Macaca mulatta: one gene and its partner. The protein of the gene in region 1 purifies or fractionates together with the protein of each later gene. This does not show direct contact. Links are inferred from orthologs where the notes say so. Each region holds a gene or a part of one and is shown in the gene's direction. Other genes may lie near its edges.

The links. Proteins that work in one complex are often made in the same cells at the same time.
Region 2: the proteins of USP18 (region 1) and STAT2 purify together in Homo sapiens (affinity purification with western blotting; 6 studies listed by BioGRID and IntAct, with this or other methods). This does not show direct contact. The link is inferred for Macaca mulatta from reciprocal best matches to the Homo sapiens genes USP18 and STAT2.

The regions. Positions count from the first base shown.
Region 1 is NC_133415.1:33,903,757-33,907,267, reverse strand, and holds part of USP18 (ubl carboxyl-terminal hydrolase 18), read left to right. Parts: intron 1-2,739; coding exon 2,740-2,819; intron 2,820-3,109; coding exon 3,110-3,256; intron 3,257-3,511. UniProt on the Homo sapiens protein: Interferon-induced ISG15-specific protease that plays a crucial role for maintaining a proper balance of ISG15-conjugated proteins in cells. Regulates protein ISGylation by efficiently cleaving ISG15 conjugates linked via isopeptide bonds.
Region 2 is NC_133416.1:63,528,691-63,532,944, reverse strand, and holds the start of STAT2 (signal transducer and activator of transcription 2), read left to right. Parts: upstream 1-1,444; 5' UTR 1,445-1,537; intron 1,538-4,254. Other genes in the region: APOF (apolipoprotein F), read left to right, coding at 1-372. UniProt on the Homo sapiens protein: Signal transducer and activator of transcription that mediates signaling by type I interferons (IFN-alpha and IFN-beta).

The DNA.
Region 1 (3,511 bases):
TTTCTTTTCACTTCTCCTCTTCCCATCCCTCACCCCTCACCATGGCCGTGTTTCCTGTTTCCTGTTAGCTCTTTAGAAATGCAAGTATCACCTTTCGCCTACCCGTCTCCAGACATTCCCTGCTGGGCAAAAGGAAGAATCTGTAAATGGAGGTAGGCTGATGGAGGTTTGACTGAGAACAGGGCAAGTTCTTCCAGCTCATCTTTCCTGAGACTTGGCAGTAGATTTGCAGCCCCAAGCATACCCACCAGGGAACCCTCCCTGCCAGGGGTGGCCTCGAAACTTCCACCTTCTAGGGGTTTGTCTTTCACCCACTAGGAAGGCATGGAGAAAGCATGCCCACTCGGCCACTTTTACAATTTACTTCTGCCCAGGAAGGTGCCAGCTCAGCTGGGTACATGATAACTGCCCGGTAGAAAACCGCCATTGCTCAACCCCTCACCCCCACAACACACCTGATGAAAATGCCCCTTTTTCCTCCAAAGGAGAAATGGCACATTAAAAGGCAGACTGCGTCGTGCTCCTTCCTCCAAGCTGGCTTCAGAATAAATTCACGTTTGTGTATGAAGCCTTCTTTTGTATCACATTTTTTTTTGTATCAGAGTTAGTTGAACAGCACATGCGGTGAGCAGCTAACCAGCTTTTCGGCTGCAGAGGCACTATGTTCAACTTTCCTTCCGTCCTCAGTCTGGAGAAGCTCAATCAACCTATCTCCAGGTGTATGGATTCTTTCTTTTTCTTTTTTTTTTTTTTTTTTTTTGAGACGGAGTCTCGCTCTGTCGCCCAGGCTGGAGTGCAGTGGCTGGATCTCAGCTCACTGCAAGCTCCGCCTCCCAGGTTTATGCCATTCTCCTGCCTCAGCCTCCCGAGTAGCTGGGACTACAGGCGCCCGCCACCTCGCCCGGCTAGTTTTTTGTATTTTTTAGTAGAGATGGGGTTTCACCGTGCTAGCCAGGATGGTCTCGATCTCCTGACCTCGTGATCCGCCCGTCTCGGCCTCCCAAAGGGCTGGGATTACAGGCGTGAGCCACCGCGCCCGGCCTGGATTCTTTCTTTTGCCAGCTCTAATCTGCTGTTGACCTCCTCTAGTACATTTTTCATTTCAGTTATTGTTCTCCTCAACTCAAGAATTTCTGCTTGGTTCTTTTTTTACAGTTTTTTCTTTATTGATACTCTTTATTTGTTGAGGTAGCATTTTTGTACTTTCTTTCTTTCTTTTTTTTTTTTAATTGAGACGGAGTCTCGCTCTGTCGCCCAGGCTAGAGTGCAGTGGTGCGATCTCCACTCACTGCAAGCTCCGCCTCCCGGGTTTACGCCATTCTCCTGCCTCAGCCTCCTGAGTAGCTGGGACTACAGGCGCCCGCCACCGTGCCCGGCTAATTTTTTTGTATTTTTAGTAGAGACGGGGTTTCACCGTGTTAGCCAGGATGGTCTTGATCTCCTGACCTCGTGATCCGCCCATCTCGGCCTCCCAAAGTGCTGGGATTACAGGCGTGAGCCACCGCGCCCGGCCCCCTTCGTACTTTCTTTCACTTTTTTTTTTTTTTTTTTTTTTGAGACGGAGTCTCGCTCTGTTGCCCAGGTTGGAGTGCAGTGGTACGATCTCGGCTCACTGCAGGCTCCGCCTCCTGGGTTTATGCCATTTTCCTGCCTCAGCCTCCTGAGTAGCTGGGACTACAGGCGCCCACCACCACGCCCGGCTAATTTTTTGTATTGTTAGTAGAGACGGGGTTTCACCATGGTCTCGATCTCCTGACCTTGTGATCTGCCTGCCTCGGCCTCCCAAAGTGCTGGGATTACAGGCGTGAGCCACTGCGCCCGGCTCTTTTACTTCTTTTGACATGGTTTTCTTTAATTCTTTGAACATATTATAACAGCTAAAGTCTTTGTTTAGTAAAGCCAACATCTAGGGCTTCTCAGTGAAAGGTTCTACTGATTGCTGTCTTCCTGTATGTGGCCATACTTTTCCGTTTCATTGTGTGTCTTGTCTCTTTTGTTGGAAAATGAACATTTTAGATGATGTAAGGTGGCAACACTGGACATCAGAGATGCCCACACCAGGGTTTGTTGTTGTTGCTGTTTTATTGTTACTGGGCAGTTTATGATTCTGTATTTGCCTTCATTGCTTTCTTGCACGTGGCCTTGTGGTCAGCCAGAGGGGAGGGATTGGAGCCCTTTCAGGTCTTACTTGGGCATGCGCCTGGCCTTCTAGATCCTCAGGAATGTATCAGTGCTTTTCAAAGTCCCTGTGGACATCTCATTCCCCAGGCTGAGTGCAGTGGTGACATCACATCTCACTGTAGCCTCAACATCCTGGGCTCAAGTGATCCTCCTGCTTCAGCCTCCCAAGTAGCTCTGACTACAGGTGTGCACCACTATGCTCAACTAATTTTTAAAATTTTTTATAGAGACAGAGTCTTGTTTTGTTGCCCAGGCTAGTCTCAAACTCCTGAGTTCAAGCGATCCTCCTGCCTTGGCATCCTGAAGTGTTAAGATTATAGGCATGAGTCACTACACCTGGCACTGGAGCTTAAGTTTCAAGAGGCGTTCTCAAAAATCAATACCAAACTTACTGTTCGTTTATTGATCACCTCTTATATAGTGCCAACTTAGCCTTGCAGTGGGGTGGAGGGCTAGGAAGAGACAAAATGGTGAGTATTCATGTATGTCTAGATACTAGGGCATGAGAAGTGACTCTGAAGACCTCACTAATTGGCTGTTCCTTTTCTCTGTGGCTAGTGTTTGTCCAGCATGATGCCGCCCAACTCTACCTCAAACTCTGGAACCTGATCAAGGACCAGATCACTGATGTGCACTTGGTAAGAACCTAGAACCAGAGCACTCGGAAGCTTAAGATGCTGCTCATTTAACTCATTCAGCTGTTGTTCCTGTAGTGTGTAGAGGAATAAGAGAGTTAATCCACATAAAACACTTATCACAGTTTCATAATATTGTTACTGGTAATATTTTGCACCTTTGTGAGTAGGCCAAAGAGCATTAGTGGCTACCATTTCTAGAGCTTCTGTCTCTTGGCTCCACCTTCTGGCAATTGGCCTGACCTGGCTTATGGTGGTGTTCCCATCTCACCTCTCTGCTCTCCCTCTTGCAGGTGGAGAGGCTGCAGGCCCTGTATATGATCCGGGTGAAGGACTCCTTGATTTGCCTCGACTGTGCCATGGAGAGTAGCAGAAACAGCAGCATGCTTACCCTTCCACTGTCTCTTTTTGATGTGAACTCAAAGCCCTTGAAGACACTGGTAAGGGGATTCTCTTGGTATTTGCTGCCCCCATATGTGTTAGTCCATTTCTGTTGTGATAACTCAATATCTGAGACTAGGTAATTTATTTCTTACAGTTCTGGAGGCTGGGAAGTCTTGGTTGAGGGGCTGCACCTAGTGAGGGCCTGCCTGCTGGTGGGGACTCTCAGAGTCCTGAGGCGAGGCAGTGCAGGGCATCACATGGCGAGTGCAGTGCAGGGCATCACATGGCGAGGGGGCTGAGCGCGCTCATGT
Region 2 (4,254 bases), on another chromosome or scaffold:
CAAAACTGCCTGGGCAAGGCCAGGGAACGAGGCCGAGATGGGGCCATAGATCTGGGATATGACCTTCTGATGACCATGGCCGGGATGTCAGGGGGACCTATGGGTCTAGCGATCAGTGCTGCACTTAAACCTGCATTAAGGTCTGGGGTTCAGCAGTTGATCCAGTATTACCAAGATCGGAAAGACGCAAACATCTCTCAGCCAGAGACCACCAAGGAGGGTTTGAGGGCCATCTCAGATGTGAGTGACTTGGAAGAAACAACTACCCTGGCTTCTTTCATATCAGAAGTAGTAAGTTCAGCTCCCTACTGGGGGTGGGCCATAATCAAGAGCTATGACTTAGATCCTGGGGCTGGGAGTCTTGGGATATAAAAGAAGGTAGTAACCACAGAACTAATAAATCTAATATCCTGACAAGCTGTATACATGTCTTCAAAATTTTAAACTCCGATTTATTCAGGAGGAAGGCTGTACAGTAAAACGTAGGAACGTAAATGTTTGGGGGTTGAAGTCAGAGGGTTTGGTTTTGAATCTAGGCTCCACTTGTTAGAGCCTCCGTGATCACTGACTGGTAACTTCTTTCTTGAACTAAGATCAGTTTTTAAATTTCTAAAGGAGAGAATGATTTTAACTTCAACGAGTTGCCCTGTAAATTTTAAATGACACAATTAATCTAAAGTGCTTATCACAGTACTCTCAATAAATAGCTATTAGCCAGGTGCAGTGGCTCATGCCTGTAATCCCAGCACTGTGGGAGGCCGAGGCAGGAGGATCACCTGAGGTCAGGAGTTCAAGACCAGCCTGGGCAACATGGCGAAACTCCGTCTCTACAATAAACACAAAAAATTATCCTGGCGGAGTTATGCACGCTTGTAGTCCCAGCTACCTGGGAGGCTGAGGCGGGAGAATCACCTGAGCCCGGGTGGTCGAGGCTGCAGTGAGCCGAGGTCGCGCCACTGCACTCCAGCCTGGGTGATAAGAGCGAGACCACGTCTCAAAAAAAAAAAAAAAAAAATACTGTTTTCATTACCTCAGCCCTCCTCTTCCTATCCCAAGGCGTCGAAATTCCGGTCCCACCCCTTCCCATGGAGCCCTTGGCGTCTACAGGCTCCTCAAGCTAGTTTCGGTTCCGTGGCTCACGAGCGGGTTCTCGAAAATCAGCTGTTTCAGTCTTGGGCCAGTCCACTAATTAGACTCCTCCCCTCGTAGAAAGTGCCTACTTGAACTTCTCCACCAATCGCTGGAGCTGCAGGTGTGGTTTCGGCTCAGCTTGTCCCGCCCCGCGGGGGGGTGTAGTTGCGGCGGCGCCAGTGAGTTCGCAGTCTGGGAAGGGCTTGACTGAGTGGCAGCCAGTGTCGGGGTGGCGACTGGGAATGGGGCCGCTCCGGACTTCCGCTGCCAACTACAAGGGGGCGGGTCCGAGGGTGTAGGCCGAAGTTGTAGGCGGGGCCTGAGGCTCTAGTACCCGAACTCCTTCTACGGACGGGAAGTCGCGACCAGAGCCAGTGGAGGGCGCGGGGACTGCAACCCTAATCAGGTACGGGCCCTGAGAGGGTGTGCTGAGGTAGGGGTGGGGGTGAGAGTGAGAGTTCCTCCCAGGGAAGGGCGACTGGCCCCAGGAGTTACGCCCTGGAGGGGGCAGCTTCTGTCCCCAGGTTGAAAGAGGAGCTGTCTGTCGCCTGCTCGGTTCTCGATCTTCTCCTGTCCAGCCTATCTCCCCAACCCCAATGCCCCTCCCCGAAAACTGCCCTGCAGCTTCCGAGACCCGGAATCTGGCATTGTTGGTTCGGTATCTGACGTTACTCTGCTCTGCATTATTTTTTATCTTCACCTAAAAACGATGTTCAAAGATAGATAAATCTAAAAACAAAGATAGATAAATCTATCGTCTTTATTTGTTTTGTTTAAAAGTATAAGCTACTGAAAGATGAAACATTGCCTAAGGTCACACACAAAATTCAGTTCATTTCAGAAAAGCTTCTTGAGTGCAAAATATGTGCTTAAGAGTGAGAGATAATGAGAAAAAATTGTTTTAGCTCTTAACCTCAGTGTTTGCAATCCATTCGGGGAGACCAGGTTTTTTGTTTTGTTTTCATATTTGAATCTTTGCTGACTTGCTCCTTTAATATCAGACACTTAAATCCTCAAGAATTGGGACCTCATTATTATTATTATTATTATTATTATTATTATTATTATTTTAGAGATAGAATCTCAGTATGTTGCCCAGGCTCGGTTTCAAACTCCTGACTGAGCTCAAGCCATCCTCCCGTCTTGTGGGCCTCACAAAGTGCTGGGATTACAGGCATGAGCCACCATGCCTGGCCACCTAATCATTTTTTTAACTTATATTTTTTTGTATCATAAAAGCAATACAGACACATAGTTTTAAAAATCAAGCACTACTAAAAGGGTTAAAATGAAAATAGCCCCTGCCCAATCCTTCCCTTCCCTTGTTCCTGCTGGAGGTAGAAGGGCAGCTGATGTTATTCATGTTAGTAGAAGACTATACCACCCCAAGCATTTCTTTTTACTTTGTAATAAAATCATGTGACCTTTTTAGACCACTAATGTGCATGAATTCTGTTTTGTTAGGCTCAGGCTGCAACAAGCTTAAGTTTCAGTTTCCTAAATAGACACCAGATGGCAGCGAGCAGGGAACAGTGGGGAGAAAGATGCAAGGCACAGCCTGCTTGGTGACAGGCAAAAGCCAATTCATTGTTGTTGTTTTGATTCAGAGACCGCACTCTGTCTCCCAGGCTGGATGTGATCTCCACTTACTGTAACCCCTGCCTCCTGGGTACAGGCCATTCTCCTGCCTCAGCCTTTTGAGTAGCTGGGATTACAGGTGCCCACCAACATGCCTGGCTAATTTTTTTGTATTTTTGGTAGAGATAGGATTTCACATTGGCCAGGCTGGTCTTGAACTCCTGACCTCAAGTGATCCTCCCGCCTCTTCCAAAGTGCTGGAATTACAGGCATGAGCCACTGTGCCCTGCCAAAACAAAAAAAACAAAAAAAATTTAAGTGAAGTTTCAGGATCTCACAAAGTTGATAACTTATAATCATATTCAAGATTCACAGGTCATAAACGTGTCATATTCTTAGGGACTGAGCAACCCGTTGCATAGCATTTAGATGTCTTCTAGCATGGAGCTCCTCCTTCCTATATGGAGGGCAGTTTATAGGGTGTACTTACCTAACCTCCAAAAAGATTTAGCTCCTAAAAAAGCTTCAGGTGGCCGGGCACGGTGGCTCACACCTCTAATCCCCGCACTTTGGGAGGCCAAGGTGGGCAGATCACCTGAGGTCAGAAGTTCCAGACCAGCCTGGATGACATGGTGAAACCCCATCTCTACTAAAAATACAAAAATTAGCAGGGCATGGTGGTGGGCGACTGTAATCCCAGCTAGTCAGGAGGCTGAGCCAGGAGAATCCCTTCAACTCGGGAGGCAGAGTTTGCAGTGAGCCGAGATCATGTCACTGCACTCCAGCCTGGGTGACAGAGCAAGACTCCATCTCAAAAAAAAAAAAAAGCTTCAGGGTCAGCAGGGATCATGCTGTAATAAATACTTAACATCAACACTGATCTTTAAATGCTTATATTTGTTTAGCATAAACAAATATAAACAACAAACACATAAATGCAAAATAAATGAATTAGAGAGATAGATGAAATAAGATAGTGGAAACAGTAGTTTGTTAAAGCTGGATGGTGATCCTTGTACTAGTCACTCTGCTTTAGTGTGTGTTTGAAAATTACCATTAGGCTGGTTATGGTGGCTCATGCCTGTAATCCCAGCATTTTGGAAGGCTGAAGCAGGCAGATCACTTGAGCTCAGGAGTTTGAGATCTGCCTGGGCAACATGGCAAAATCCTATCTCTACAAAAAATTAGCTGGCGTGATAGCACACTCCTGTAGTCCCAGCTCCTTGAGGGGCTGAGGCAGAGAATCGCTTGAACCTGAGAGATCAAAGCTGCAGTGAGCCAAGATCATGCCACTGCACTCCAGCCTGGGTGACCAAGTGAGACCCTGTCTTAAAAAAAAAAAAAGAAAAGAAAATTCCCATTAAAGCACAAAGGCCCACTTACTGAAGCTATTAAAATACAGGTTGGGGCCGGCTGGGTGCGGTGGCTCACACCTGTAATCCCAGCACTTTGGAAGGCTGAGGTGGGCAGATCATGAGGTCTGGAGATCAAGACCATCCTGGCTAACACGGTGAAACCCTGTCTCTACTAAAAATACAAAAAAAA